Linked DNA regions of Arabidopsis thaliana. The protein of the gene in region 1 purifies or fractionates together with the protein of each later gene. This does not show direct contact. Each region holds a gene or a part of one and is shown on either strand. Other genes may lie near its edges.

What was found.
Region 2: the proteins of PK1 (region 1) and ASN3 purify together in Arabidopsis thaliana (affinity purification with mass spectrometry, with the first as the bait; one large-scale study listed by BioGRID). This does not show direct contact.
Region 3: the proteins of PK1 (region 1) and MCM4 purify together in Arabidopsis thaliana (affinity purification with mass spectrometry, with the first as the bait; one large-scale study listed by BioGRID). This does not show direct contact.
Region 4: the proteins of PK1 (region 1) and AT1G04810 purify together in Arabidopsis thaliana (affinity purification with mass spectrometry, with the first as the bait; one large-scale study listed by BioGRID). This does not show direct contact.

What each region holds. Positions count from the first base shown.
Region 1 is NC_003074.8:2,650,793-2,656,065, reverse strand, and holds PK1 (protein-serine kinase 1), read left to right. Parts: upstream 1-1,853; 5' UTR 1,854-1,957; exon of another isoform or gene 1,958-2,474; 5' UTR 2,475-2,702; coding exon 2,703-3,308; intron 3,309-3,393; coding exon 3,394-3,476; intron 3,477-3,565; coding exon 3,566-3,860; intron 3,861-3,944; coding exon 3,945-4,049; intron 4,050-4,176; coding exon 4,177-4,485; 3' UTR 4,486-4,745; downstream 4,746-5,273. Other genes in the region: AT3G08740 (elongation factor P (EF-P) family protein), read left to right, coding at 1-53, 136-216, 398-504, 594-671, 787-888, 982-1,063, 1,160-1,278. UniProt on the Arabidopsis thaliana protein: Downstream effector of TOR signaling pathway involved in osmotic stress response. Could be involved in the control of plant growth and development. Phosphorylates the ribosomal proteins P14, P16 and S6.
Region 2 is NC_003076.8:3,212,130-3,218,243, reverse strand, and holds ASN3 (asparagine synthetase 3), read left to right. Parts: upstream 1-1,692; 5' UTR 1,693-1,825; coding exon 1,826-1,905; intron 1,906-2,165; coding exon 2,166-2,304; intron 2,305-2,490; coding exon 2,491-2,586; coding exon of another isoform or gene 2,587-2,590; intron 2,591-2,775; coding exon 2,776-2,917; intron 2,918-3,019; coding exon 3,020-3,115; intron 3,116-3,299; coding exon 3,300-3,394; intron 3,395-3,488; coding exon 3,489-3,650; intron 3,651-3,735; coding exon 3,736-3,816; intron 3,817-3,900; coding exon 3,901-4,122; intron 4,123-4,205; coding exon 4,206-4,340; intron 4,341-4,549; coding exon 4,550-4,630; intron 4,631-4,715; coding exon 4,716-4,802; intron 4,803-4,893; coding exon 4,894-5,001; intron 5,002-5,097; coding exon 5,098-5,310; 3' UTR 5,311-5,593; downstream 5,594-6,114. Other genes in the region: DOT3 (Phototropic-responsive NPH3 family protein), read left to right, coding at 1-201, 282-531, 599-727, 830-1,216. UniProt on the Arabidopsis thaliana protein: Essential for nitrogen assimilation, distribution and remobilization within the plant via the phloem.
Region 3 is NC_003071.7:7,125,754-7,132,571, reverse strand, and holds MCM4 (Minichromosome maintenance (MCM2/3/5) family protein), read left to right. Parts: upstream 1-1,842; 5' UTR 1,843-1,906; coding exon 1,907-1,943; intron 1,944-2,011; coding exon 2,012-2,701; intron 2,702-2,798; coding exon 2,799-2,927; intron 2,928-3,000; coding exon 3,001-3,082; intron 3,083-3,154; coding exon 3,155-3,287; intron 3,288-3,370; coding exon 3,371-3,442; intron 3,443-3,539; coding exon 3,540-3,662; intron 3,663-3,753; coding exon 3,754-3,867; intron 3,868-3,946; coding exon 3,947-4,159; intron 4,160-4,267; coding exon 4,268-4,366; intron 4,367-4,491; coding exon 4,492-4,652; intron 4,653-4,751; coding exon 4,752-4,848; intron 4,849-4,948; coding exon 4,949-5,110; intron 5,111-5,211; coding exon 5,212-5,292; intron 5,293-5,365; coding exon 5,366-5,444; intron 5,445-5,553; coding exon 5,554-5,690; intron 5,691-5,806; coding exon 5,807-5,866; intron 5,867-5,961; coding exon 5,962-6,036; 3' UTR 6,037-6,293; downstream 6,294-6,818. Other genes in the region: AT2G16450 (F-box and associated interaction domains-containing protein), read left to right, coding at 1-1,052. UniProt on the Arabidopsis thaliana protein: Probable component of the MCM2-7 complex (MCM complex) that may function as a DNA helicase and which is essential to undergo a single round of replication initiation and elongation per cell cycle in eukaryotic cells.
Region 4 is NC_003070.9:1,348,411-1,355,983, forward strand, and holds AT1G04810 (26S proteasome regulatory complex, non-ATPase subcomplex, Rpn2/Psmd1 subunit), read left to right. Parts: upstream 1-1,669; 5' UTR 1,670-1,893; coding exon 1,894-2,039; intron 2,040-2,422; coding exon 2,423-2,492; intron 2,493-2,696; coding exon 2,697-2,802; intron 2,803-3,115; coding exon 3,116-3,224; intron 3,225-3,302; coding exon 3,303-3,471; intron 3,472-3,660; coding exon 3,661-4,121; intron 4,122-4,227; coding exon 4,228-4,363; intron 4,364-4,465; coding exon 4,466-4,714; intron 4,715-4,813; coding exon 4,814-5,034; intron 5,035-5,130; coding exon 5,131-5,389; intron 5,390-5,510; coding exon 5,511-5,743; intron 5,744-5,829; coding exon 5,830-6,328; intron 6,329-6,503; coding exon 6,504-6,851; 3' UTR 6,852-7,056; downstream 7,057-7,573. Other genes in the region: AT1G04800 (glycine-rich protein), read right to left, coding at 225-827. UniProt on the Arabidopsis thaliana protein: Acts as a regulatory subunit of the 26 proteasome which is involved in the ATP-dependent degradation of ubiquitinated proteins.

The DNA.
Region 1 (5,273 bases):
TCGACTGGCGCTCCCCGCCGTCCGGATTTCTCCCCGAACCAACAGATTTCCCAGTTAATATCTCTATTCGCTTCTTTAAATTCGATGCATGCATTGATTTTGAAATTTATATTCAGACACGTTTGATTTTTGCAGGGATTCACTGCTCTATGTCTGCTAACGACATCAAAGCGGGAACCAATATCGAAGTCGATGGTGCTCCTTGGCGTGTTCTTGGTATTCTTCTTCCTCAATTCCTCTTAGTTTATGTTATTATCTATACTTGGAACTTGGAAGGTTTCTGAATTTGTAGATACTATTACTAGTTCATGACGATTTAAGCATTGTTTTGGTTATAATGCTTCCACTTAGCTACTTACTAGTCTACTGAGGGTTTTTTCTTGCTTTGTTGGAGCAGAGTTTCTTCATGTTAAACCAGGAAAAGGTGCGGCATTTGTGAGAACTAAGATCAGGAACTATGTGAATGGTAGCACAGTCGAGAGAACATTTCGTGCTGGAATTTCTGTAAAAATCATCTCTTTTTCTCTTATATCTTAATCTGATGAATGATTTTTTAGTTGCACCATTTTGATTATGACCATTCTATGTTACAGGTTGAGGAAGCTAATATATATAAAGAAACCAAACAATTCACATACAAAGATGGGTCTCAGTTTGTTTTCATGGATTTGGTATGTCACATTGGATCCTTACTTCTCTTCTTCGCTAGTATGGTAGTAGTAGCTTAAAGTTTGTGTACTAATGATTACGTTTTCTCTTGGTTATCAAATCTTTTTTTTTATATAGACCACATACGAAGAAACACGTCTTAACGAATCTGATATGGGTGAGAAGACGAAATGGTTGAAAGAAGGAATGGATTGCATTTTGCTCTATTGGAAAGACAAGGTACACTCACTTTCAGCTTCTCTGTAAAAATAGTTAATAGTTCACGTAATTAAGCGGTGATGCCAACTTTGTTTCTCTCTGGATCTTTGCAAGGTTATCGATTTCGATCTACCGATTACAGTTAAGCTAAAAGTGGTTGACGTTGATCCTGGCCTTCGCGGTGATACTGTGCAAGGTAACAATGTTGCACCAATCTATTGTTGAGAGATCTCTTCTCATGTTTTGGTTTAAACAAGCTTAAACTGACCAAGTGGGGTGATGAATTTCGTAGGTGGATCAAAACCGGCGACAATGGAAACGGGTGCAATAGTTGCTGTACCACTCTTTATTAACGTCGGTGAAGAGATATTTGTGGACACAAGAACTGGTGCATACATGAACCGAGCGTGATCCGGGTCTACTACACCTAGTTAATTGGGTCGTTAACAACAAGGCAATGATACATCTTTTTTGTATATGAGAATGTTCGAATCCGGGGACACATGTTTGTTTTTCTGAACATCGAGAGACAATTTTTCGATTAAATAAATTTATATATATTTAAGTTTGATTAAAATCAGCAAATTCATACAAGAACTAACATAATTTGGTCAATCCTAATGCTTTTCGTAACTGTTTAAAAGCATGAAATTTTTTATGATAGAAAGGTTAAGAATGAATGAGGAACATCGAGCTAGAGAGATTCAATGGAATAAGAGATTAATGGCTTCTAAAATCTCTGGATACGCAAAATACTCTCTCAGTCTCTCACAAATTGATGTATTTTGTGAATCTAATGGCTGGTAAAATTTCCTCATTGTGGATTTCAAATCCACATAATCCGGAAAAAAAAGATATGATCTAAAAAACAACAAAAAGTCAGGAAGAATGGGCTTGGTGAAAGGCGGCCCACTAAAATAAATAAAGAATTAGTGGACAAAAAAACCTCCGCCGCATATTTAACAACTGGTCAACGTTCTCCCAATAAGATACGGCCACGTGTATGAACCCCTGGATCTGCGATGCTGCTCTTAAATTCTCCTCTCGTCCTCATTTCCATCTTCGTCTCCTCCCTCAGCCATCCCCTCTGGTAATCAATTCTCCCTCTCTATCTATGTTTGTTTGAATTCTCTCTCGCATAGTTAAGATTCCTTTTTTCGTATTCTAGATCCATAGAATTTATCCAAAATTCATGAATTGTTTCTAAGACACGAAACGGTTTAAGTTCAGGTCATAGTTTTTCTGTAGATCTCGATTTACGTGAAATTTTACTTACCAATAGATCTGAATTATCGAAATTGCAGTTCCTTTTCCTCGAGTGTCTCGTTCGGCTTCATGTCCTGTGGAATTTTTAATCTTTGTCCGATTCTGAATCCGGAAATTGTTAGGGATTTGGGTTTTATTCAAGATTTGTCATCGCTGTGAAAGTTTTCCCTTTTTTTATGTGGGTTCGAAGTTTTCTGAAAATCTCAATTAGTAAAAGGATCACTGGACTTGCTTATATTAATTCTACACCGTCTCTTCATAGATTTGGTCAATCCTGTATCTCAGATCTTATTTGTTCATGTGATAGCCTTTAAATGTGTGAACTTTTCATGTACTTGCAGAGCTTATAAAACCTTCATGGCATTTGCGCACTTCTGCAGCATCCACTGTTTCCTTAAAATCGGGAAACAACAAGAGCTTCTTCTCCTTGTTATTGGATTGCCTTTTGCCAGCCTTTGTTTTAGTCAGTTTTCTCCTCATTAACTTCTGTCGGTACAGAATCTCTCTCCAGGCTGGTGAACTCTTGCAGCTTTCTCAGTGATTCTGTATCGATTTTTCCCGTGTAAATTATGGTTTCCTCTCAGCGTCCTGTCCCCAACAAAATCCAGAAACAGCAATATCTATCCATCAGCCCTTCAAATTCTGTCTTGAAAGATGATGTTGAACTTGAGTTCTCTGATGTGTTTGGTCCACTCCCCGAAGAGGCCAATGATATTGCTTACGACGAGCCTGCTGTTGTCTACAGTCGATCCCACTCCTTGGTTGGCCCGTGTTCGCTCGATAGTCATTCTTTGAAGCTGACCAAGCTCACCTTACTAGAGACTGAGGACTCAATTGACTTGGTGGAGTGTCTCGAAGGTGAATCTTTAAAAGAAAATGATGATTTCTCTGGTAATGACGACAGTGACAATGAGAAAGCTTTAGAGGGAGATCTGGTGAAAGTCTCAGGTGTAGTAGGCATAGATGATTTTGAGGTTATGAAGGTTGTTGGGAAAGGTGCGTTTGGGAAAGTCTACCAGGTGAGGAAAAAGGAGACCTCTGAGATATACGCTATGAAAGTCATGAGGAAAGATCACATTATGGAGAAGAACCATGCTGAATACATGAAAGCTGAGCGCGATATTCTTACAAAAATTGATCACCCATTCATTGTTCAACTTAAATACTCTTTTCAGGTATATATAACACTTCTCTCTGTTAGCATCCTATTTATTTTACTTTACTATTTCTTAACTTAGAGCGTTATACATTCCCTTGCAGACCAAGTACAGGCTGTATCTTGTGCTCGACTTTATAAACGGAGGTCATCTTTTCTTCCAACTCTATCACCAAGGGCTTTTCAGGTTTGTTTAATTCCTTTTTGCGAACCATTTTTGAAGTTTCGCTAGAATTTTGTAAAGCTTAATTGGTTCTATATTTTACTCTTTCGCAGAGAGGACTTGGCTCGAGTGTACACTGCAGAAATCGTCTCTGCAGTTTCCCATCTCCATGAGAAAGGCATAATGCACAGAGATCTGAAACCCGAAAACATACTCATGGATACAGATGGCCACGTGATGCTAACAGATTTTGGTTTAGCAAAGGAATTTGAAGAAAACACAAGATCAAACTCCATGTGCGGAACTACGGAGTATATGGCACCTGAAATTGTTCGAGGAAAAGGACATGATAAAGCAGCTGACTGGTGGAGCGTAGGGATTCTTCTGTATGAGATGCTCACAGGAAAGGTAAAAGCCGCTATCTATTGTTAATTTGCTTGAAGCCTCATGTCTTGGTATATTGTTGTGTGATGTCTTGTTTTCCTTCTGCAGCCACCGTTTCTCGGGAGCAAAGGAAAGATACAGCAGAAAATTGTGAAGGACAAGATCAAGCTTCCGCAGTTTCTGTCTAATGAAGCTCATGCAATACTGAAAGGGGTAAGTAAATGTTGGTGCAGTTTGATTACAGAATCAACAGTAAACATGAAAATCTTTGTGCAGTTAAGAACTATGAAGCATTGTATTTAGAACAATTCTGACTCTTGACTTTGTAATGAATGTATAGCTGCTGCAAAAAGAGCCAGAAAGGCGACTTGGAAGTGGACTGAGCGGAGCAGAGGAGATAAAACAGCACAAATGGTTCAAGGGAATAAACTGGAAGAAGCTGGAGGCTAGAGAAGTGATGCCAAGTTTCAAGCCGGAAGTATCGGGAAGGCAATGCATAGCAAATTTTGACAAGTGTTGGACTGACATGTCTGTTTTGGATTCTCCGGCGAGCAGTCCCAGTTCGGATCCTAAGGCCAACCCTTTTACCAATTTCACTTACGTCAGGCCTCCTCCTTCATTCCTTCACCAGTCCACAACTACTTTGTAGATTTACTATATTTTTATGTAGTTCCTACTTCTTTGGTTGTTGTTTCCTTCTGACACATGAACATTAAAGAAAACTTTGGTTACCAAGACGCTTAATTTATAATTGATTTTATGAGATTGTTATTGATTGAGATTAAGTAGAGCAGCTAACACTTTGACCTTTTGACCCACGATGTAATATAAAAGAACGTTGAAAACGTGTAAATATAAAAGATGATAACGGTGATGCCTTTGGACCGAACTAGTGTCCGTCTGAACGTCTTGTAATGTAATGGGCTTAAAGAATTCCGGCCCACTAAAACAAAGAAGAAGTTCGGTTTCCCAATAGAACACGAACACGTGTCCTCACCCCATGATCCACGATGCTTCGGAAGACATAAAAAATGTAGCCACGCGCCTTCTTAAAACCTTTTCCTTTTTTGGTTTGGCACATTACCCTCTTTCCTGTTAAAGTTGTCTCGTCTCCTTCTCGTCTCCTTCCTCAAGCATATTCTCTGGTAATTCCTCTCTCTCTGTCTCTCTTTGACTTTTCTCTCGCAGAGTTTAGATTCTTTTTTTTTCTGGATATAAATTATTTACACGACACGAAACCTTCTAGGTCCAGGTCATAGTTTTACTCTATATCTGGATTTGTTTGAAAATTGCTTGTGTTATGCGCCAGCTTTTTCCCTAATATATAGACTAGGTCTTAATTACAGATATTAGAGTTCGTTTCCTCGAGGGTTTCTTTCGACCTCGTGTCCTGGTGAAATTTTGGAATTCTAAGGCTTTGGGGTTTTATTTGGGAGG
Region 2 (6,114 bases), on another chromosome or scaffold:
AGTCAGTGTACTTCCTCCACAATCGGGAGCAGTCTCATGTCACTTTCTCTTAAGGATGCTGAAAACATCAATTGTTTACTCTGCATCACCAGCTTTAATATCTGATCTTGAGAAACGGGTCGGCATGGCTTTGGAAGATGCTAATGTATGTGACCTCCTAATTCCTAACTTCAAAAATGAAGAACAGCAAGAAAGAGTCAGGTGAGAAAAATTTACTCTTTAACTTTAGATACTTCGACTAAAGAAGTCTTTATTTGATAACTTTGATTTATGTTCTACAGCTCACCTGAGGTATACACTATATACAATGTGGATGTGGTTCACAGGATTTTTGAGTTTTTCTTGATGCATGAGCAACAACAAGTTCTAGGAAAGCCAAGCATATCCAAGCTCTTGGACAATTATTTAGCCGAGATTGCAAAAGATCCATATCTTCCCATCACAAAGTTTCAGGTTCTAGCAGAAATGTTGCCGGAAAATGCTTGGAAATGTCATGATGGTCTCTATAGAGCAATTGATATGTTTCTCAAGGTAATAAACTCTTTTCTTGTTATTTCATCACAAAACTACAACTAATGATAAAAATTCCCTGTTGCAGACTCATCCTTCATTGTCAGATCACGATAGAAGAAGATTATGCAAAACAATGAACTGTGAGAAACTATCACTTGATGCATGCCTACACGCTGCACAAAATGATCGGTTGCCTCTAAGAACTATCGTCCAGGTATGCGATAAAACAGAACAGTTTTTATCCTATAAGCTTTTCTTGAAGTCAAAGAGTAATACAAGTGACTGACCAAAGCTAAAACATTTTATCATAAACAAGATCAATACTCAAGTGCTTTTCTCGGAACAAGTAAAGATGAGGATGATGATGCAAGACAAGCTACCAGAGAAGGAGGAAGAAAATTCTGGAGGTCGTGAGGATAAACGAATGTCTAGAGATAATGAAATCATCAAGACACTTAAGGAAGAGTTAGAAAATGTGAAGAAGAAGATGTCAGAGCTTCAGAGCGATTACAATGAGCTTCAACAAGAGTATGAAAGGCTAAGTAGCAAACAGAAGAGCTCACATAACTGGGGATTGCGTTGGCAAAAGGTGAAGAAATCGTTCCAGACAAAACGAGAAGATGAGGAAACAAGAGAGAGGACACGAAGAAGAAGTTCCACGGGACAAAGAACTAGTTTCAGGAGGAGAATGTCAATGTCATAAGCCCTAACTTGTGTTTTACGGAATTAAACCAATCAATCATAGTCTCTGCCAAAAAATGTCAGCTTAATGTCAATGTCATAAGCCCTAACTTGTGTTTTACGGAATTAAACCAATCAATCATAGTCTCTGCCAAAAAAATGTCAGCTTAATGCCCAGTTATGTATTCACATTGTTTTGAAGACTGTTGACACATTTGATGAAAAGAGTTGTGACTTTCTGATTAGTGGTTAATCATATGATTAACTCTATTAAAAACCTGCTTATGATGGAACATCATTAGTGATGGAGTATTATCGAACGACATCGTTTCATTGAGAATTGGATATATCAAAACGCGTCGTTTTAAGAATTCCTTTTTTCCTCGAGAATCCGGCGAATCTCGTGACACTGGGGAACAGAATCTTTTTCCGAAATTAATAAGTCAAAGGCAAATTAGGGTAAAGTTAAAATCAGAATCTTTTTCTCTTAAGGAATAAAAATGAATTAATTGTCAGAATCAACGGTCCTGATTGAATATTGGAAACCCATCTTATAAAGTTCATCTTTTTAGTTTTCACAGCATCCATTTCTCTGAAGCCGTTGTGTTCTCTTATTGCCGCCACCACCACCATGTGTGGGATTCTCGCTGTGTTAGGCTGCGTCGATAACTCTCAAGCTAAACGTTCCCGTATCATCGAACTCTCTCGCAGGTATACTCAAATCAAACACATTTAATGTCTCTCATCCAATTCTTTGTTTTCGATCTCCTTGGTTTTGTTTTTGGCTGCGCAATGTTCTAAAGGTTATTGGGTATTGTTTTGGAAGAGAAAAGTTTCCAACTTTATGGTTAAAACGATTTGATTTTGTTAAATGAAGAGCCTTTACTCGATTTCTATCTTGTGGAGATGTTTTGGTCAAATATTGATTGAATGGGTAAACTGATGATGCTATCTGTTGAAATGTTATGTAGATTGAGGCATAGAGGTCCTGACTGGAGTGGTCTACATTGTTATGAGGATTGTTATTTGGCTCATGAGCGTTTGGCTATCGTTGACCCCACTTCTGGAGATCAACCACTCTATAACGAAGATAAGACCATTGCTGTCACGGTAATTTTTCTACTTGTGTCCTAATCTCAATTGCTTGGAGCAACTGGGATTAGTGAATATCGATTCCTTTTTCAATGATCATTGACATGATGAAAAGAAATCATGAGTCAAACCTCAAACTTTATGAGGATTCATGTGATTTAGGAATAAGGAGTATTTTTGTTTGGACTCTTTCCTTGCTTTCAGGTCAATGGAGAGATTTACAACCACAAGGCTTTGCGTGAAAATTTGAAGTCTCACCAATTCCGTACTGGGAGTGATTGTGAAGTGATTGCCCATCTTGTAAGTACTCACTAAGTGAAAGAAGATTTGACTTCATGGCTTCTTTAGATGTTGTGTTTTCTGTTTCTTTTTCTTGTGTGTAAGTTTAAGTCCAATAAGGTCACCTCAATCTTTATTACCTTATGGTAGTTGAACAGTTACTGTGTTCAGACTTCTATCAGTTTGATTTATATTTTCATAATATTGTAGTACGAAGAACATGGAGAGGAATTTGTCGACATGTTGGATGGCATGTTTGCATTTGTGCTTCTTGATACCCGAGACAAAAGCTTTATTGCTGCAAGGGATGCCATTGGTATCACTCCACTCTACATCGGGTGGGGTCTCGATGGTGTGTTCACATTTTTCTAAGATATTCACCTCAATGGGTTAAGATCATTCTTTCTTTGTCGTTGATTACTGATTTATCTTTTTGACAAATTATCTTCCACAGGTTCTGTTTGGTTTGCTTCCGAGATGAAAGCACTTAGTGATGATTGTGAGCAGTTTATGTGCTTCCCCCCAGGCCACATCTATTCAAGTAAACAAGGTTCGCACTTCATATCAGATCACATCTATTTTTAAAATCAAATAATGACATTTCTTGGCTGACTTATATTGTCGTGGAAACGCTCACAGATATCAATGTTGTCAAACTGGTATTTAGTTATCTTTTAGTAAGTTTGTGTTGGGACTTTTACTGTGTAGTTTGATGGGACAAAACTTTCTTGTAGGTGGGCTTAGGAGGTGGTACAACCCCCCGTGGTTCTCTGAGGTTGTTCCTTCAACCCCATATGATCCCCTAGTGGTGCGCAATACTTTTGAGAAGGTAAATTCTGGAGTCTTATCTTCCTTAAGATATTCTCTGACAAATGCTGATCTTATTTTGGAAATATGAATGTGGGCATTTCTTTGAACTGCAGGCTGTTATAAAACGACTAATGACTGATGTGCCTTTTGGTGTCCTCCTATCTGGTGGATTAGATTCATCCCTTGTTGCTTCAGTAGCATTACGCCATCTGGAAAAATCAGAAGCTGCTTGTCAGTGGGGTTCAAAGTTGCACACATTTTGTATCGGTTTGAAGGTCTTGACCCAATTTCTCAAAATGTTTTCACCAAAAGCTTTCTATGCTCATCAAGATTTATAATTTTCATCTGTTTTCTTTTCAGGGATCCCCGGATCTTAAAGCTGGCAGAGAAGTCGCTGACTATTTAGGAACTCGCCACCACGAGTTACACTTTACAGTTCAGGTAAATTTTCTCTTTTACATCTACAAGAGTATTGAGTATGAAGATTTGTTGGTTGTTTATATCTTCCGCTAATGATAATATCAGGACGGAATAGATGCCATAGAAGAAGTCATCTACCATGTTGAGACCTATGATGTGACTACTATTAGAGCCAGCACTCCAATGTTTCTTATGTCGCGAAAAATCAAATCGCTTGGTGTAAAGATGGTTCTTTCTGGGGAAGGCTCTGATGAAATTTTTGGAGGATATTTGTACTTCCATAAAGCTCCCAACAAGAAGGAATTTCATGAGGAAACATGTCGAAAGGTAGTGCCTTAGAGTTTAGACAAGAACTTTTTTTTTGATATACTGCCTTCTGTAATCTTGTTTGTGGGCGGATGTGTTTACAGATCAAAGCTCTTCATCAATATGACTGCTTGAGGGCTAACAAATCAACTTCTGCATGGGGTGTTGAGGCTCGTGTACCTTTCCTCGATAAAGAATTTATAAATGTCGCAATGAGCATCGATCCAGAGTGGAAGATGGTAGGTGTCATCTTTCTCATCACTTTCATTTTCATCTATTTATTACGCACACATCAACCAAAGTGATTGTGAGTCCTTTCTATGATATATAACACTGCTTTCAGGACATTCTAGTTTGAATTGATTCTTTCATGACTTTCTTTTTATCACAAGTTTATAATCTCAAGTTTCAAATTTGGTGATAATTTGTACTCTAAACAATGATGCAGATTAGGCCTGATTTGGGAAGGATCGAGAAATGGGTGTTACGCAATGCCTTTGATGATGAGAAAAATCCTTACCTACCAAAGGTTTTCTAGCAAAAACTTTGCTCCCTGCAATTTGACAAAACTATCTAGCTTTGCTAACAACTTGTCATCTTTTTGGTAAATGTAGCACATTCTATATAGGCAGAAAGAACAGTTCAGTGATGGAGTTGGATACAGCTGGATTGATGGTCTAAAAGATCATGCAAACAAACATGTAAGAAGATGTCTCTTTTAATCGATAAGAAAGAATATTTTAACGTAACAGTTTGATTTTATTGCGGTACTCTCCTTTCTCTTTTGGTAAGGTCTCTGAGACAATGCTGATGAACGCAAGCTTTGTCTTCCCTGATAACACACCTTTGACAAAAGAAGCTTACTACTACAGAACCATCTTTGAAAAGTTCTTCCCTAAGGTAATGATTTTCATCTGCATAACTACTTGGTCTTCTTTAATTGTCTTGATCTTTGCTCAGATTTGTTTAACGGATATATAACTGATAAATGAGCAGAGTGCTGCTAGAGCAACTGTACCAGGAGGTCCAAGTGTGGCATGTAGCACAGCAAAAGCTGTGGAATGGGACGCAGCTTGGTCACAGAATCTTGACCCATCAGGTCGTGCGGCTCTTGGAGTTCATGTTTCAGCTTATGGGGAAGATAAAACCGAAGATTCTCGTCCCGAGAAGCTACAGAAACTAGCAGAGAAGACTCCAGCCATTGTTTGAGGATAAACAAACAAGGTTTCAGCTAATGTTGAATCGTGCAATACTCTTATTGTCTCAAAGACAATAGATATCCTCTTCTATAGGTTCTAAAAAGGCTTTCTTTTTTTCTTGTTTTCTGGGGTTCTTTGGATGTGTACCTAATAAGTTCCTGGTGAATTTCTGTGTTTAGTGTTATTAGACAATCCATGAAAGCTTGATACTTCAGATTATGAACGTTATTTTTCATGAATCCGATTCTTTCTTTCTTTTTCTATCTCAAAAGCTATTTTCTTTGTTCTGTCAAAAAGTGTGATTATCATCAGTCTATATTTTGATTCACTTTGGTTTTCTATAGTAATTCAAACTTCAAAGTACACTGTAATTGGAATTGAAACGATACAGAGAAGAAGGTTTAGGTTGGTTCATGCAAATTAAACGGATCTTTATAGAAGAAAACTGGCGTTGGCTATTGTGGGAATAGTACCTTTCTATTAAAGTTATATTGTTTAAGTGTTCTACTATCATCACAAGGACTCTGTGGCCCAATGGATAAGGCGCTGGTCTACGAAACCAGAGATTCTGGGTTCGATCCCCAGCAGAGTCGTTGTTCTTTTATTTAATCTTCCTTTTAATTTTTTTCGCGCCAGATCTGTTTTTACGGTCTAATGAAAATTTGAAATTCATTACAATTCTTATAACTTTCTTGTGGGTTGTTTATCCATAACATATTTTATAACATATAAACTACACCAATTAGATATTTGACGTTACGATTCTTTTAATTAGTCGATAATCAGTATTTGGTTGCCAATAAAATAACTGCTC
Region 3 (6,818 bases), on another chromosome or scaffold:
CACAGCTTGAGAATCCATATGAGAAATCCTCATCGACTCTTGTAGCAACCGCTGAATTTCATGTGAGATTCTCTCCAGACAATCTACTGATCTGTCATTATTATGACCTAAAATATTTTTCAATTGGTTATGCCTTTGGCTTGATCTATATCTATGGTAATCGAGGCCGGGCTAGACCTCTAATATGTAACCCCACTACAGGACGGTATGCCATCTTACCTAATCGGTATACTTACAGAAAGGCGTTTAGCTTTTTCGGGTTTGACCCAATTGACAAGCAATACAAGGCATTGTCCATGGTTTATCCATCTGGTCCTGGTCATAGTAGAGTTATTACATTTGGAGCTGGAGATCTGAAGTGGAGAAGGATAAAATGTTCATTGCGACATGATATTAAGAGTGAAGGGGTATGTATCAATGGGGTTTTGTATTACTTAGGTGACACGTCGGATTGGAGTCGCGTTAATGGTAATCACGTAACGTCTGGTTATATGATAGTTTGCTTTGATGTTAGGTCTGAAAAATTCACCTTTATTGACGTAAAAAGGTTTTGTCGATTGATAAACTACAAGGGCAAATTAGCTGTGATTTATTGGGAGGATGATGTCGACATTCAAGAGCTTTATTACAAAAAGGGTATAGATGTCGAGGAATATGTGGAGAATAATGTCAACGCTGATGCCACTAATGAGTTGTGTGTGTGGATTCTAGCGGATGTTGAGAAACAGGAATGGTCGAAACATGCCTACACTTGGACCGATGAAAAGTTCTTCCGTCGTTTGGTATCCATCGCTGGAGTGACTGCTTCGGGTGAAATAGTGTTTTCGATGCGCAAGTGTAATCCTAAACAACCGTTTTATGTGTTTTACTTCAATCCCGAAAGGAACAGTCTCCAACGTGTTGAAATTCAAGGTTTTGGTGAAGCCGTTACGAAATCTTGTGACGTTTGCACCTTTGTAAACCACGTAGAGGATCTCAATGTTTACGATTTAAAACAACTCAAGTCAGTCCATCCTCCATTGGTCGAGCCAGAATATTATGATTCAGATTAAGAGTCAGACTGAGAAGGGACAAGGAGAAGAAGACTGACAAGTGACAAGGATAAGGAGATAGAGACGAGCCAGGTGAAAGCAATGGGCATGCCATTTTATGCTCTTACTTATGCGTTTTTTTTTTAAATCAACATTATCTATGTTTACTGTTTTTTTTTTCTCTTTTGAACGAGCTTTATATGTATCCTTCATTTTGTTTGGTCTCAAGAACAAGGTGTTGCAGTTTCTCTTAGTTCTCTGTCTTAATCTGAGTATCTATTCTTTGAATTTCAGCATGGTTTCTTCTGGATGAGATCTGTCCTCTGTTCTGTTTCAATATCTTGTTGTGTTTGTCGGTTGTGTGTGATGGGACTAATTTTCATGATGACACTTTGGACTAAATACTTAAATGGGATTTGTACAAAATCGTTCACTCACTTGAAGAAAACATTCCTTGAATTCTACCATTCCTGGTTTCTATTAGTCTCAGTCTTCATGTTTAAAGTATGCAACTTCTTGTTAGCTTAGTTTTGAAACTTTTGGTTCTCTGTAACAAAGGGTCTTGTAAGCTGTCTTTGAAAGAGGGAACATTCTCGTTAACAGTCTTTATGGGTCTTATGCTTTGTTGCTTCTCTAAGTTTTTTGTTTGAACTTGTGAATGGCGAATAGATGAGATCTGTCCTCTGTTCTTAACATCTTATTGATTTTGTCATTTGGTTTAAGAAATGGGACCAATAGGCCCAGGAATTAGGTCCATTAAAAGCCCAGTAATAATGGCGCCAAAATCAAGTGAAGTCCCCGCCTAATTCATCTCTTCTCACTAAAAAAGCGTCGAAACCTCTCACTCCGTCTCTCAATCAATTCTCCGATCAGCCATGGCTTCTGATTCTTCTCTCGGCAACACCAACGACGGTACTATCTCTCTCCCTCTCTCTAAATCTGAAACTGCTTCATAATTTTGACGAATCTCACTACCTCAGGTCCTCCTTCTCCCGGAGAAAACGTTTCAAGCCCTATCGAAAACACATACTCTTCCCCCGCCGCACTTCACCGTCGCCGGCGAGGAAGATCCTCTACTCCCACGCAATTCGCAACTCCTCCACCACCGCCTTCACGTCTCGCATCATCCAATTCCACTCCTCCAACATCTCGTCCTTCCGCCGCCAGATCTAAAGGAAGAAATGGACACGGAGGTGGCGGTGGTGGCGGTGGTGGCGGAGACCCAGGGACGCCAATGTCCACTGACGAGCCACTGCCTTCTTCCGATGACGGTGAAGAAGACGGAGGCGACGATACTACTCCGACTTTCGTTTGGGGAACTAACATCAGTGTGCAAGATGTTAAATCTGCGATTGAAATGTTTGTTAAGCATTTCAGAGAAGCTAGAGAGAATAGTGATGATTTGTTTAGAGAAGGGAAGTATATGGTTTCGATAAGGAAGGTGATTGAGATTGAAGGAGAATGGATTGATGTTGATGCGTTTGATGTGTTTGATTATGATCCTGATTTGTATAACAAGATGGTTCGTTATCCTTTGGAAGTTCTCGCTATCTTCGATATTGTGCTGATGGATATTGTTTCCACGATTAATCGTTTGTTCGAGAAACATGTTCAAGTTAGGATTTTTAACCTCAGGACATCTACTTCCATGAGAAATCTCAATCCATCTGGTTAGTATGATTCAGTTTTTGTTCTTCTTGGTTTCTTAGTTCTCTCTAGTGGTAATAGCTTAGCTTATGTTTGGATGTGTTTTGTTTGGTTGGTTAGATATCGAGAAGATGATCTCTTTGAAAGGTATGATAATTCGGAGTAGCTCTATCATTCCTGAAATAAGGGAAGCTGTGTTTAGATGCCTTGTTTGTGGTTACTTCTCTGACCCCATCATCGTTGATAGAGGTAATTTGGTCATTTGGATTTATCCAGATTTTATGTATCTGCATAGTTTCTCATAATGTTGTTTGATTGATAGGGAAAATAAGTGAGCCTCCTACTTGCTTGAAACAAGAGTGCATGACCAAGAACTCCATGACACTAGTGCACAACCGATGCAGGTAAGTTCTAGACATAGTATATGTCTGATTCTTATAATTTCTGTAACTTACCTTCTTTATTTTGTGTATCAGGTTTGCTGATAAGCAGATTGTGAGGCTTCAGGAAACACCTGATGAGATTCCAGAAGGAGGAACACCTCACACAGTTAGCTTGTTGCTGCATGATAAGCTAGTTGATAATGGGAAGCCTGGTGATAGAATTGAGGTAATAAAAGCAGTAATTCTATCAGGGTAGTACATTCATTCCTATGGTTTTCGTTGACAATCAAAAGCTTGTTTTCTGGATAGGTCACCGGAATTTACAGAGCAATGACTGTCCGAGTGGGACCTGCTCACAGGACTGTGAAATCTGTGTTTAAGGCATGTCATCTTATTTCTTCCTCTGTTAGTTATTTCCCTTTATTGTAATTACGTTCTGACATTGTCATTTATGTTTTCTTATGAATGTTGAGGACAGACCTATATCGATTGCCTTCACATAAAGAAAGCAAGTAAGTTAAGAATGTCTGCTGAGGATCCTATGGATGTTGACAATAGTCTGCGTAGAGTTGATGAAGATGTCGAGTTAGATGAGGAGAAGGTATTTCATCTATTTAACTAAAATGGTTCTACAGTTTTGTATCTTATTCATTCGTCCCTCCATTCCAACCAATATTTGTGTTACTTTTCAGCTGAGGAAGTTTCAGGAACTCTCTAAACAACCAGATATATATGAGAGGCTTAGTAGATCACTAGCACCAAACATCTGGGAGTTGGATGATGTTAAAAAGGGTCTTCTATGCCAGGTACTGTAACGCTTTTGATACTGACTTATGGTTTAAACAAAATTAGTTCTTTTTACTGAGTCAAATTTCAAATGTGAAGCTTTTTGGAGGGAATGCTTTGAACTTAGCATCTGGTGCTAATTTTCGTGGTGACATCAACATCTTACTTGTTGGTGACCCTGGTACGAGCAAGTCCCAGCTGCTCCAGTACATTCATAAGCTTTCACCCCGTGGCATTTACACAAGTGGGCGAGGGAGCTCAGCTGTTGGTTTAACAGCTTATGTAGCTAAAGATCCTGAGACAGGAGAAACTGTATGCTAATATTGTTTTCAATCTTTTTATTATCAGCTGTTTTTTTTTATTCTGTGTTTCAAAGTTTTCATAAACCTGACATGCTAACATGAATGCTACATTGTTTAGGTTTTGGAGAGTGGAGCTCTTGTTCTTAGTGACCGAGGTATCTGCTGTATTGATGAATTTGACAAAATGTCTGACAGTGCGAGGAGCATGCTACACGAGGTTTGTTCCTCTCTCTCTTTTTTAGCATTGCTCAAAGTCGTAGCTTACAGTTTTTGGGTGCCCCCTGTGAATGTGGTCTCTAGTCAATAAGATTGCATTACTGATGAACATTGTTTCTCTGTCAGGTGATGGAACAGCAGACTGTTTCAATAGCAAAGGCTGGTATTATTGCATCTCTAAATGCCAGAACCTCTGTGTTGGCTTGTGCAAATCCTAGTGGCTCACGTTATAATCCCCGGCTTTCTGTTATTGAGAATATTCACCTTCCTCCAACCTTGCTATCTAGGTATGTTGCAATCCTTCAACAATGTGACATTATTTTTACTAAAGGCTAATGGTTTCCTCTATTTGGTGTTACTAATTATAATCTCATTTTGCTTCTTAGATTCGATTTGATCTACTTGATTCTTGACAAGCCCGATGAGCAGACTGACCGAAGGCTTGCAAAGCATATTGTGGCCCTTCACTTTGAGAACGCTGAGGTCTTATATTATATATTTTCCCAGTGTGTATGATATGTTGACAGACAATTATTTTTTGCCTTTATCTTACTTAATTGGTATCATTTGTGTCAATATACAGAGTGCTCAGGAGGAAGCTATAGATATTACTACACTGACAACTTATGTTAGCTATGCCCGCAAGAACATTCATCCTAAACTGTCAGATGAAGCTGCAGAGGAGTTGACCCGAGGATATGTTGAGCTGAGAAAAGCAGGGAAGTTTGCTGGCAGTAGCAAAAAGGTGTGCCCTCGAAACTTCAATATCTTTTCTATGTCGTAACCAAGGCTCATAAAAAGGCTATGACTAGTCTAACGCTATGAAACGCTCTGAATTTGGCACAGGTCATAACAGCAACTCCTAGGCAGATTGAAAGTTTGATCAGACTTAGTGAGGCCTTGGCTCGGATGCGCTTCTCCGAATGGGTTAGTTAAACGCTCATATTATACATTTTCCTTTCATCGTTCTAAATCAACTGAAATGGTTTTTGTGATAAAGGTTGAAAAGCATGACGTGGACGAGGCATTTCGACTTCTCAGAGTTGCAATGCAGCAATCAGCAACGGATCACGCCACAGGTAGTTTTTTCACAGTAACTTTCAGACCCATTATTATCATCAGGATAAAGATAAACAGTAGCATTCAATACCAATCTAACAATAAACACCTGTATTTATGTTGGTGAAGGGACCATTGACATGGACCTGATAAATACTGGAGTGTCAGCAAGTGAACGAATGAGGCGGGATACCTTTGCGTCGTCAATTAGAGACATAGCTCTGGAGAAGATGCAAATTGGAGGATCATCAATGCGCTTATCCGAGGTATTCATGCACTACTCCTTTCTTTTTCCCAATTTTGTTATATGCCAAAAGCAAGCAAATCAGTTTACAATAAGAGAAACCGTTTCTTAAGTACAATGGAAATGTTGTTGTTGCAGTTACTTGAAGAACTGAAGAAGCATGGAGGCAACATAAACACCGAAATTCATCTTCATGATGTGAGTCATTTATAACACTTTGCTACATATCAAAAGGTTTTTGGTCTAAGGACAGAGACATAACAAAGTATTTGTTGTTGTGACGCATTAAACAGGTTAGAAAAGCAGTCGCGACGCTAGCGAGTGAAGGATTTCTGGTAGCTGAAGGTGATAGAATCAAGAGAGTATAATCACAGATTCATGAGGAAAGCTTAATATTGCTGTGATTAGAGAGTTTGATGATGGTTTTAGTAGCATATTAATAGTAGGATACCCAGCAAATGATGTGGCTCGGTCCATCTTCTCACTATTTGCTAATTTGTAATGACTTATTTTGTTACTAGATATCACTTTGGCACTGACAAAAAAATGGATCAAATATACTCCCAACAAAGCTAACTTGCGAATGAGATAGAAATCAATAAAATCGTTCCAACTCGACCAAACATAAGACAATGTGTGTATTCTTTAGATCACTACCAAAATTCAAAAATATCTTCATGCTTATCAATTTTTATATATAGCAAAAATAGTCTTCCTTCAGTCTTATTCTCGTAAACTATTATTCACTTGATGAAGTTATTTGTATCTTCATATGATATAATTAAGAATTTTTAAAAAGAACAAAAAACGAAGAATAATCATTTGAAAAAGTTAGAGCATTGCAATTACAAACTTTATAGCATGAAAAGGTGGATCGTACAAAAGAAGAAAGTTAGATAAAAAGATTGAAAATTGGGTCCACATAGAGAACATTATTGGATTTCGATAGAGATATGGTATGGACTAAAATGACAAGTGATCATGCGTTCAAAAAAGTAAACGATACGATTGGTCTCTAACTTTCTTCGTTTCTTATTCGTAAGGACGTGGAACTCGTTACTCCTTACCTCTCTTAGTGCTCCATCTCTCTCATGTCACCTAGACTTCGTATAAGTCAACTTGATTGTATTTTGACATGGTTAGGCAAATG
Region 4 (7,573 bases), on another chromosome or scaffold:
TATACCTTTTAAAATCAATTTAAATGCACAAGGCTTTGTTTAATCGTTTTATTCACTTTACTTGCACGAAGAAGCAAGATACAATCATATTCAAAGAGTAAAACAAACTAAAGAGAAACGACATACATTTCAGTTATTGTTACATATATAACGAATTAGTTTTCTTAAATGACATGCATTGGATTTTAGCTCCTCATCAATGCACATTACGGTTAAACAAATTCTCAGTGACCTCCGCCGCCAATTCCTCCACCAATTTCTTTACCGGCTCCTCCGCCGATTCCTCCAATGGCTCCACCGTCAACTCCTTTACCTGCTCCACCGTCAAATCCTTTTCCGACTCCTCCCTCAATTCCTTTTCCGATTCCTCCCTCAAATCCTTTGCCGACTCCTCCATCAAATCCTTTTCCGGCTCCACCGTCAACTCCTTTGCCAACTCCTCCATCAAATCCTTTCCCGGCTCCACCGTCAACTCCTTTACCGGCTCCACCGTCAACTCCTTTTCCGAAGCCACCGTCAACTCCTTTACCGGCTCCACCTCCGAATCCTCCTCCACCAAATCCACCGCCTATTCCTCCACCAAAGCCTCCAACACTGCCTCCAATCCAACCGCCACCTGCTCCAAAGCCGCCTCCACCGCTGATACCACCACCACCACCTAAGTCGCCGAATTCTTTTTTAAAGCCCTTCTTGTGGAGGAGAGGATGAGGGTGAGGGTGAGGAAACAAGGGCTTCTCATCACCAAACTCTGCTTCTCCCATAGTAAAATCTGTGACCAAAGCAAACACCAAAACAAACACACGCACTTTACCGGCGATTAGACCCATTGTTAGTGGAAACTTAAAATGTTTGTAGTTAAAATATTAGAAGCTATTGGAAGAGGATGTTTTGATACGAAATTGCTTCTTGCATGAGCAGTATATATATAGACTTAGAGAGAGATCGTGATAGCATAAGCACTTTTCGTCAATGTGCATGGATTCAACCTGTACAACAACTAGGATATAATTGCTGTTGAGTAAAAACAGTTAAAGATGTTTCACCGGTCACTGGACAAGTTTTATGTTTCATTGTCTGCCCAACTGCCATATTGATCTCATCCAACACAAAGAGAAAAATATGATGCAAATATAGTTGAAAAATTGAAGAACATATGACACCAATTATTATATACAGTTCCTTGAATTATATTAATCATACATTCATATCAATTATATTAAAATTTAATTTGAAGGTTGTCCAGGTTTCAGAGGGCAATAACTAAAAATGAAAATGTTTCTGCATGTCTATTCATAATTTCATATTAAGTGAAAACTCGTATGGTCTAAGAGAAAATATTTACTAGAAAATAATTCTGACTTGATAAAAGATGTAGTCGCTTTATAGGTTGGAGGACAGGCCATGTCAATCTATGGAATATTGAACTATCTATATAAACCCTAAAATGTGATTTCATTTATTTGTGAGCTTTAGCTTTTTAGGTGTCATCAATCAATGATGTAAACTAGAAACTCATATGCTATACTTCCAAACAAACCAATAAAGTTTTTATTATGGGCCGCTAGATTGGTCCATTAACACTATAAGATATATAGTCTGGCCCATCATTAGACCCAATTTTGTATTCCGACTTTATGATTTTGTTTGGATCCATCATATATATTTGGGGTGAAAGTGTAATCTTATTAAACATTTAGGGGTATTGGTAAAAATTACTTGACTTGTTGGGTAAGTATCTTAATATTCGATAAGTCTAGAATTTCGATTTTGATTAGACTTGTGAAAAAGTGAACTCAGAAATTGTGCTCGCCCAAAGTAGTTCGGTTCTTGTGTTCCTCCGTCTGATCAACTCTTCTTCTCCACCTCTAGGTTTCTAATTTTCCGATTAGGATAATGGCCGCCGCCATGGTTAGTTCCGCCGGTGGGTTACTGGCAATGCTCAACGAACCCCATCCTTCCTTGAAACTTCACGCTCTCTCATATCTCATCAGATTGGTTGACCAATTTTGGCCCGAGATCTCCACTAGTGTCCCAATCATGTATTCAATTCTCTCTTCTCTTTTTTTTAATTGTTTCCCTTCGTGAGGCTATTCTGTTTGCTTACTGGGAGTAAAGCTTATGGGATTTGGATGAGTTTTAGCACTCTTGATATTTCTTAGTTAGGGTATTACATTCCAAGTTTTTCCACTCTTGTGTCGAGTTAGATTTGAATGCGTTAATTCACAAGTGACAAACTTTATTGAATTGCTTTACTTAATTCTGTTGATTCTGAATAGAACCATTGTTATCTGGGCTAAGGACGCTCCCTTACCGTCATGATGCGGAAAATTTGTTCTTTTGAAAGTTGTAGAGACTCTACTTTTGCTTGAGATCTTAAACTGTTTTTGTGCTATTCTGAGACCTTTTTTTGATTTTTTTGTAGAGAGAGCTTATACGAAGATGAAGAGTTTGATCAGCATCAAAGACAGCTTGCTGCCTTGTTGGCCTCCAAGGTACAGTTTATCTTTTTATTTAACTTACATGATGACTGGTTTTATATAAATTGTTAGTGGAGATACGAGTGCCAGTTAAACGGATACCTTAAAAGCTGGTAGATTGCTACAGAAGTTCAGAGCTTGAATTTCCTGTAATCAAGTTATGTTATTGTATTATAAGACTTGTTTTCTAACGTTTATGTTAATCTTGTTTTATCTCAGGTTTTCTATTACTTGGGTGAGCTTAACGATTCCTTGTCCTATGCCCTTGGAGCTGGATCCTTGTTTGATGTGTCAGAGGATTCTGATTATATTCATACTCTTCTATGTAAGGATTTTGAAGTTTGCTACTTTCTTCTCTTCTACTTTTTTTATCCAATTCTGTGACAGTAGACACTAGCTCGGTTATCATTCTTAATAGGCGTAAATTCAAAATCATTCCAACCTGATTAAATGGAAGATTAAGAAAATAGTTTATACGATATATTTTCTAACTAATAAGACTTGAACGTCCATCTTTCTTTTAATAAGATTGTGCTGCTAGAAAGTTACGCAAAGACATGATAAGATAGTGATCTTACAGTTACTAACTGTTTAATGTTGAATGTTTTACTCATGGATGCTTCTGTTTTCCTTATCAGCCAAAGCAATAGATGAGTATGCTATTCTCAGATCAAAGGCAGTCGAGTCAAGTGAGGTGGTGGAAATTGACCCGAGATTGGTGGCCATTGTTGAACGAATGCTAGACAAGTATGGGATGCAGAATTTATTTATTTATGTCTGTCTACAAGTTTTTCGTTTTTCCTTACATGGTTTTCTGTTTTATAGATGTATCACTGACGGAAAGTATCAACAAGCCATGGGCATTGCTATAGAATGCCGGAGATTGGATAAGTTGGAGGAAGCGATCATAAAGAGTGAGAATGTGCAGGGAACATTATCTTACTGCATCAATGTTTCCCACTCTTTTGTTAATCAAAGAGAATATAGACATGAGGTGAGTCTGGTGGCCACAAAACTGGATTTTAATAGATGTATTATGTTAATGATACTATGAGCTCATCTTCTTTATTCTTTTCTTACAAATATAATGGTTATAATTCATTGCATTCTTTATGTCAACTCAAAACATTTTTGTAGGGGCTGTTAATTTGTAAATGATAACATCCTTACTTCGTTCTTGCAGGTTCTTCGGTTACTTGTTAATGTTTACCAGAAGCTGGCTTCTCCTGATTATTTGAGCATTTGCCAATGCCTTATGTTCTTGGATGAACCACAAGGCGTTGCAAGCATATTGGAGAAGCTTCTTCGTTCAGAGAACAAAGATGATGCTTTATTGGCTTTCCAAATCTCTTTCGATCTTGTACAGAATGAGCACCAGGCATTCCTCATGAGTGTTAGAGATCGCCTTCCAGCGCCCAAGACCCGTCCTGTAGAAGCAATTCAAGCTGTTGAAACCTCTACTGCTCAGAATGAGAACACTGCAGGGGATGTTCAGATGGCGGATGAAACTCCATCTCAGACAATTGTGCATGAAACAGATCCTGTTGACGCTGTGTACGCTGAGAGGTTAACAAAGGCTAAGGGGATTTTATCTGGAGAGACATCAATACAACTGACACTCCAGTTTCTTTACAGCCATAACAAGTGAGGCAGTTTATTTACCTTTTTTGATATCTCGAAGGATATTTCATTCTTAAGTCGTTTCTTCCACATAGTAAAATTTACAGCAATGGCCATTGTTTCTTTGTAGATCGGACCTGCTGATCCTGAAGACAATCAAACAATCTGTTGAGATGCGGAACAGTGTATGTCACAGTGCTACAATTTATGCTAATGCTATAATGCATGCTGGAACGACAGTTGACACTTTTCTCAGGGAGAATTTGGTAAAATTTATTTTCTCTACCACTTTTTAACTTGTTTCAACGTCAACTATGTGGCATATTATTTAATCTTCTTTTCTTTTCCATTCATGTTTGAATTGTCAGGATTGGCTAAGCAGGGCCACCAATTGGGCCAAGTTTAGTGCTACAGCAGGATTAGGTGTTATTCATAGGGGTCACTTGCAACAGGGCAGGTCACTGATGGCCCCATACTTGCCTCAGGGCGGAGCAGGTGGTGGCGGGAGTCCTTATTCCGAAGGGGGTGCTTTATATGCTCTCGGCCTTATTCATGCAAACCATGGTGAGGGAATCAAGCAATTTCTTCGTGATAGTCTACGCAGCACTAGTGTTGAGGTGATTTGCTATATCTTTCTTCTGGATAGTCTTCCGTTATATCACCAAAAAGATAGTCTTTTGTTTAGAATGATTTTCATTAAAAAAATATGGTTGCAGGTTATTCAACACGGAGCTTGTTTAGGTCTTGGTTTGGCTGCTCTTGGGACAGCTGATGAAGACATATATGATGATATCAAAAGTGTGCTTTACACTGACAGTGCTGTTGCTGGTGAAGCTGCCGGCATAAGCATGGGTCTATTGTTGGTTGGAACAGCAACTGATAAGGCAAGTGAGATGCTCGCTTATGCTCACGAGACTCAGCATGAGAAGATAATAAGGTAACTAAAGTCTGGAATATATTTTTGGCTATGTGTGTGGGTGCATGGTAATTTATTTCAATGTTTTAAGTAACCAACATCTGGTTTTGTGTTTAGGGGATTGGCTCTAGGAATAGCTCTCACAGTATATGGAAGAGAAGAGGGAGCAGATACTTTGATTGAGCAGATGACTAGAGATCAGGATCCTATCATCCGTTATGGTGGAATGTATGCACTCGCATTGGCTTACAGTGGAACTGCAAACAACAAAGCCATCCGCCAACTTCTTCACTTTGCTGTGTCTGATGTCAGTGACGATGTTAGGAGGACTGCTGTTCTTGCACTTGGATTTGTCTTATACTCTGATCCAGAGCAGGTAACTCCATATTCTTTTTGTCTCATTAACTTCTTGACACTATATTCCATTTCTTTAGTGCCTTTAGGGCTCTTGTGCTCGCTTACAGTCATTAACTGGTGGCTCAATATTTAAACTGTAGACTCCCCGTATTGTATCCCTTCTTTCCGAGTCGTACAATCCACATGTCCGCTATGGCGCAGCTCTTGCAGTTGGCATCTCTTGTGCAGGCACTGGTCTGAGTGAGGCGATATCTTTGTTGGAGCCACTTACATCAGATGTTGTAGACTTTGTTCGTCAAGGTGCTCTGATTGCCATGGCCATGGTGATGGTCCAAATTAGTGAAGCAAGCGATTCTCGCGTTGGAGCATTTAGGTTAGTGAAGTTCCGATCTCTTCATCAATTGGAGGGAGTGAGAATAGTTCTCTTTTGAAGACTAAAATTTGTCTGTGCTTTTGCAGGCGTCAACTTGAGAAGATAATACTTGACAAGCATGAAGATACAATGAGCAAGATGGGAGCAATTTTGGCTTCAGGTATTCTTGATGCTGGTGGAAGGAATGTGACGATAAGACTGCTGTCTAAGACAAAACATGACAAAGTCACTGCAGTCATTGGCCTTACTGTCTTCAGCCAGTTTTGGTATTGGTACCCATTGATTTACTTCATAAGCTTGGCGTTTTCACCCACCGCCTTCATCGGTTTGAACTACGATCTCAAAGTCCCAAAGTTTGAATTCATGTCACACGCAAAACCATCGTTGTTTGAGTATCCAAAACCAACTACGGTTGCTACTGCCAACACCGCTGCCAAATTACCAACTGCTGTGCTCTCAACCTCAGCCAAAGCCAAAGCTAAGGCTAAGAAAGAAGCAGAGCAGAAAGCTAAAGCTGAAAACTCTGGCAATGAAGCTGGAAAAGCCAATGCAGCGTCAGATGAGAAGGAAGCAGAGTCTATGCAGGTAAAATGCAAATCTAATTCCCAACATCTTCGTATCTGTTTGAGTTGAAAAATTGCTCTTAACATTTTTTACTTTGGGAAATGCTGTTCCTATGATTAATCTCAAGGTCATGATCAATTTATCATCAGTCTTTTGACTTTTGATCAAGTATATTTTCTCTATGTTACTATGCCAGGTTGATAGCACAGCTACAACGGTGGAGAAGAAGGTTGAGCCAGAAGCAACGTTTGAGATTCTAGTCAATCCTGCGCGTGTAGTCCCTTCACAGGAGAAATACATCAAATTGATGGAGGATAGCCGATATGTACCGATGAAGCTAGCTCCATCAGGGTTTGTCCTTCTCAGAGACTTGCGTCCGCATGAGCCTGAAGTTCTGTCTCTGACCGATGCACCGACTTCAACAGCATCCCCTGCAGTGGGTGCAGAAGCTGCAGGACAAGCCCAACAAGCAGCCACCACCTCTGCTATGGCCATAGATGACGAGCCACAACCTCCGCAGGCCTTTGAATACGCTTCTCCATGATTTTGTAATTTGATCAGTTGCCATTTTGTTTTCTGTTAATTAAACAGAGAAACAGTTCTCCTTTTTTGAACTTGGAGACTAGTACTTATTGCATTGGTTCCGACTTGTTCTTGTGTTAGTAGTTTCTTTAAATCTATATATTACTAAGAGCAGAAATGGTAAACAACTATCATTTTTCCCTAAGTAAAGATTAATGCTATATACCAAAAAAAAAGAAAAAAAGTAAAGGTTAATGCTTGTATGATTTTTCTAGGGGAAATTAGATAAAAATCATTGCAAAAATTTAACCACATTGTTCAGTCGGGGAAAAATAAAAATCTCAGGTTGTCGATTTTGGGTCAAAATAGTTTGTTTATGCTAGTAGGCCTTTTTTAATTTATGTGGGTCAATTATATTACGCTCCTTGTAGCCCAATGGGCAGAATAAAAGTGAGCCCATGAGTGAGGCGCGTGGTAGGCGAACTGTCAAATGAAAATATCTTACCCACTCGCATACTAAGCGCGTATAAGACTGGGAAAACTGCCGTTTTTCGCTAAAATTAATAAACTGGGCGCGTGTGGGCGTTTTTTTACTAATAAAAACGTAACTGGCCTTCTATCTGATTAACCTTGTCCGGCCTTCTTTAGTGAGCCCATTTTTGTTTTAGTTTTATGTTTATAGACCTTATAAAATATAAAGCCCATATACAGTTGTTCCAACCGCAGCAACAACTGTATCCAATT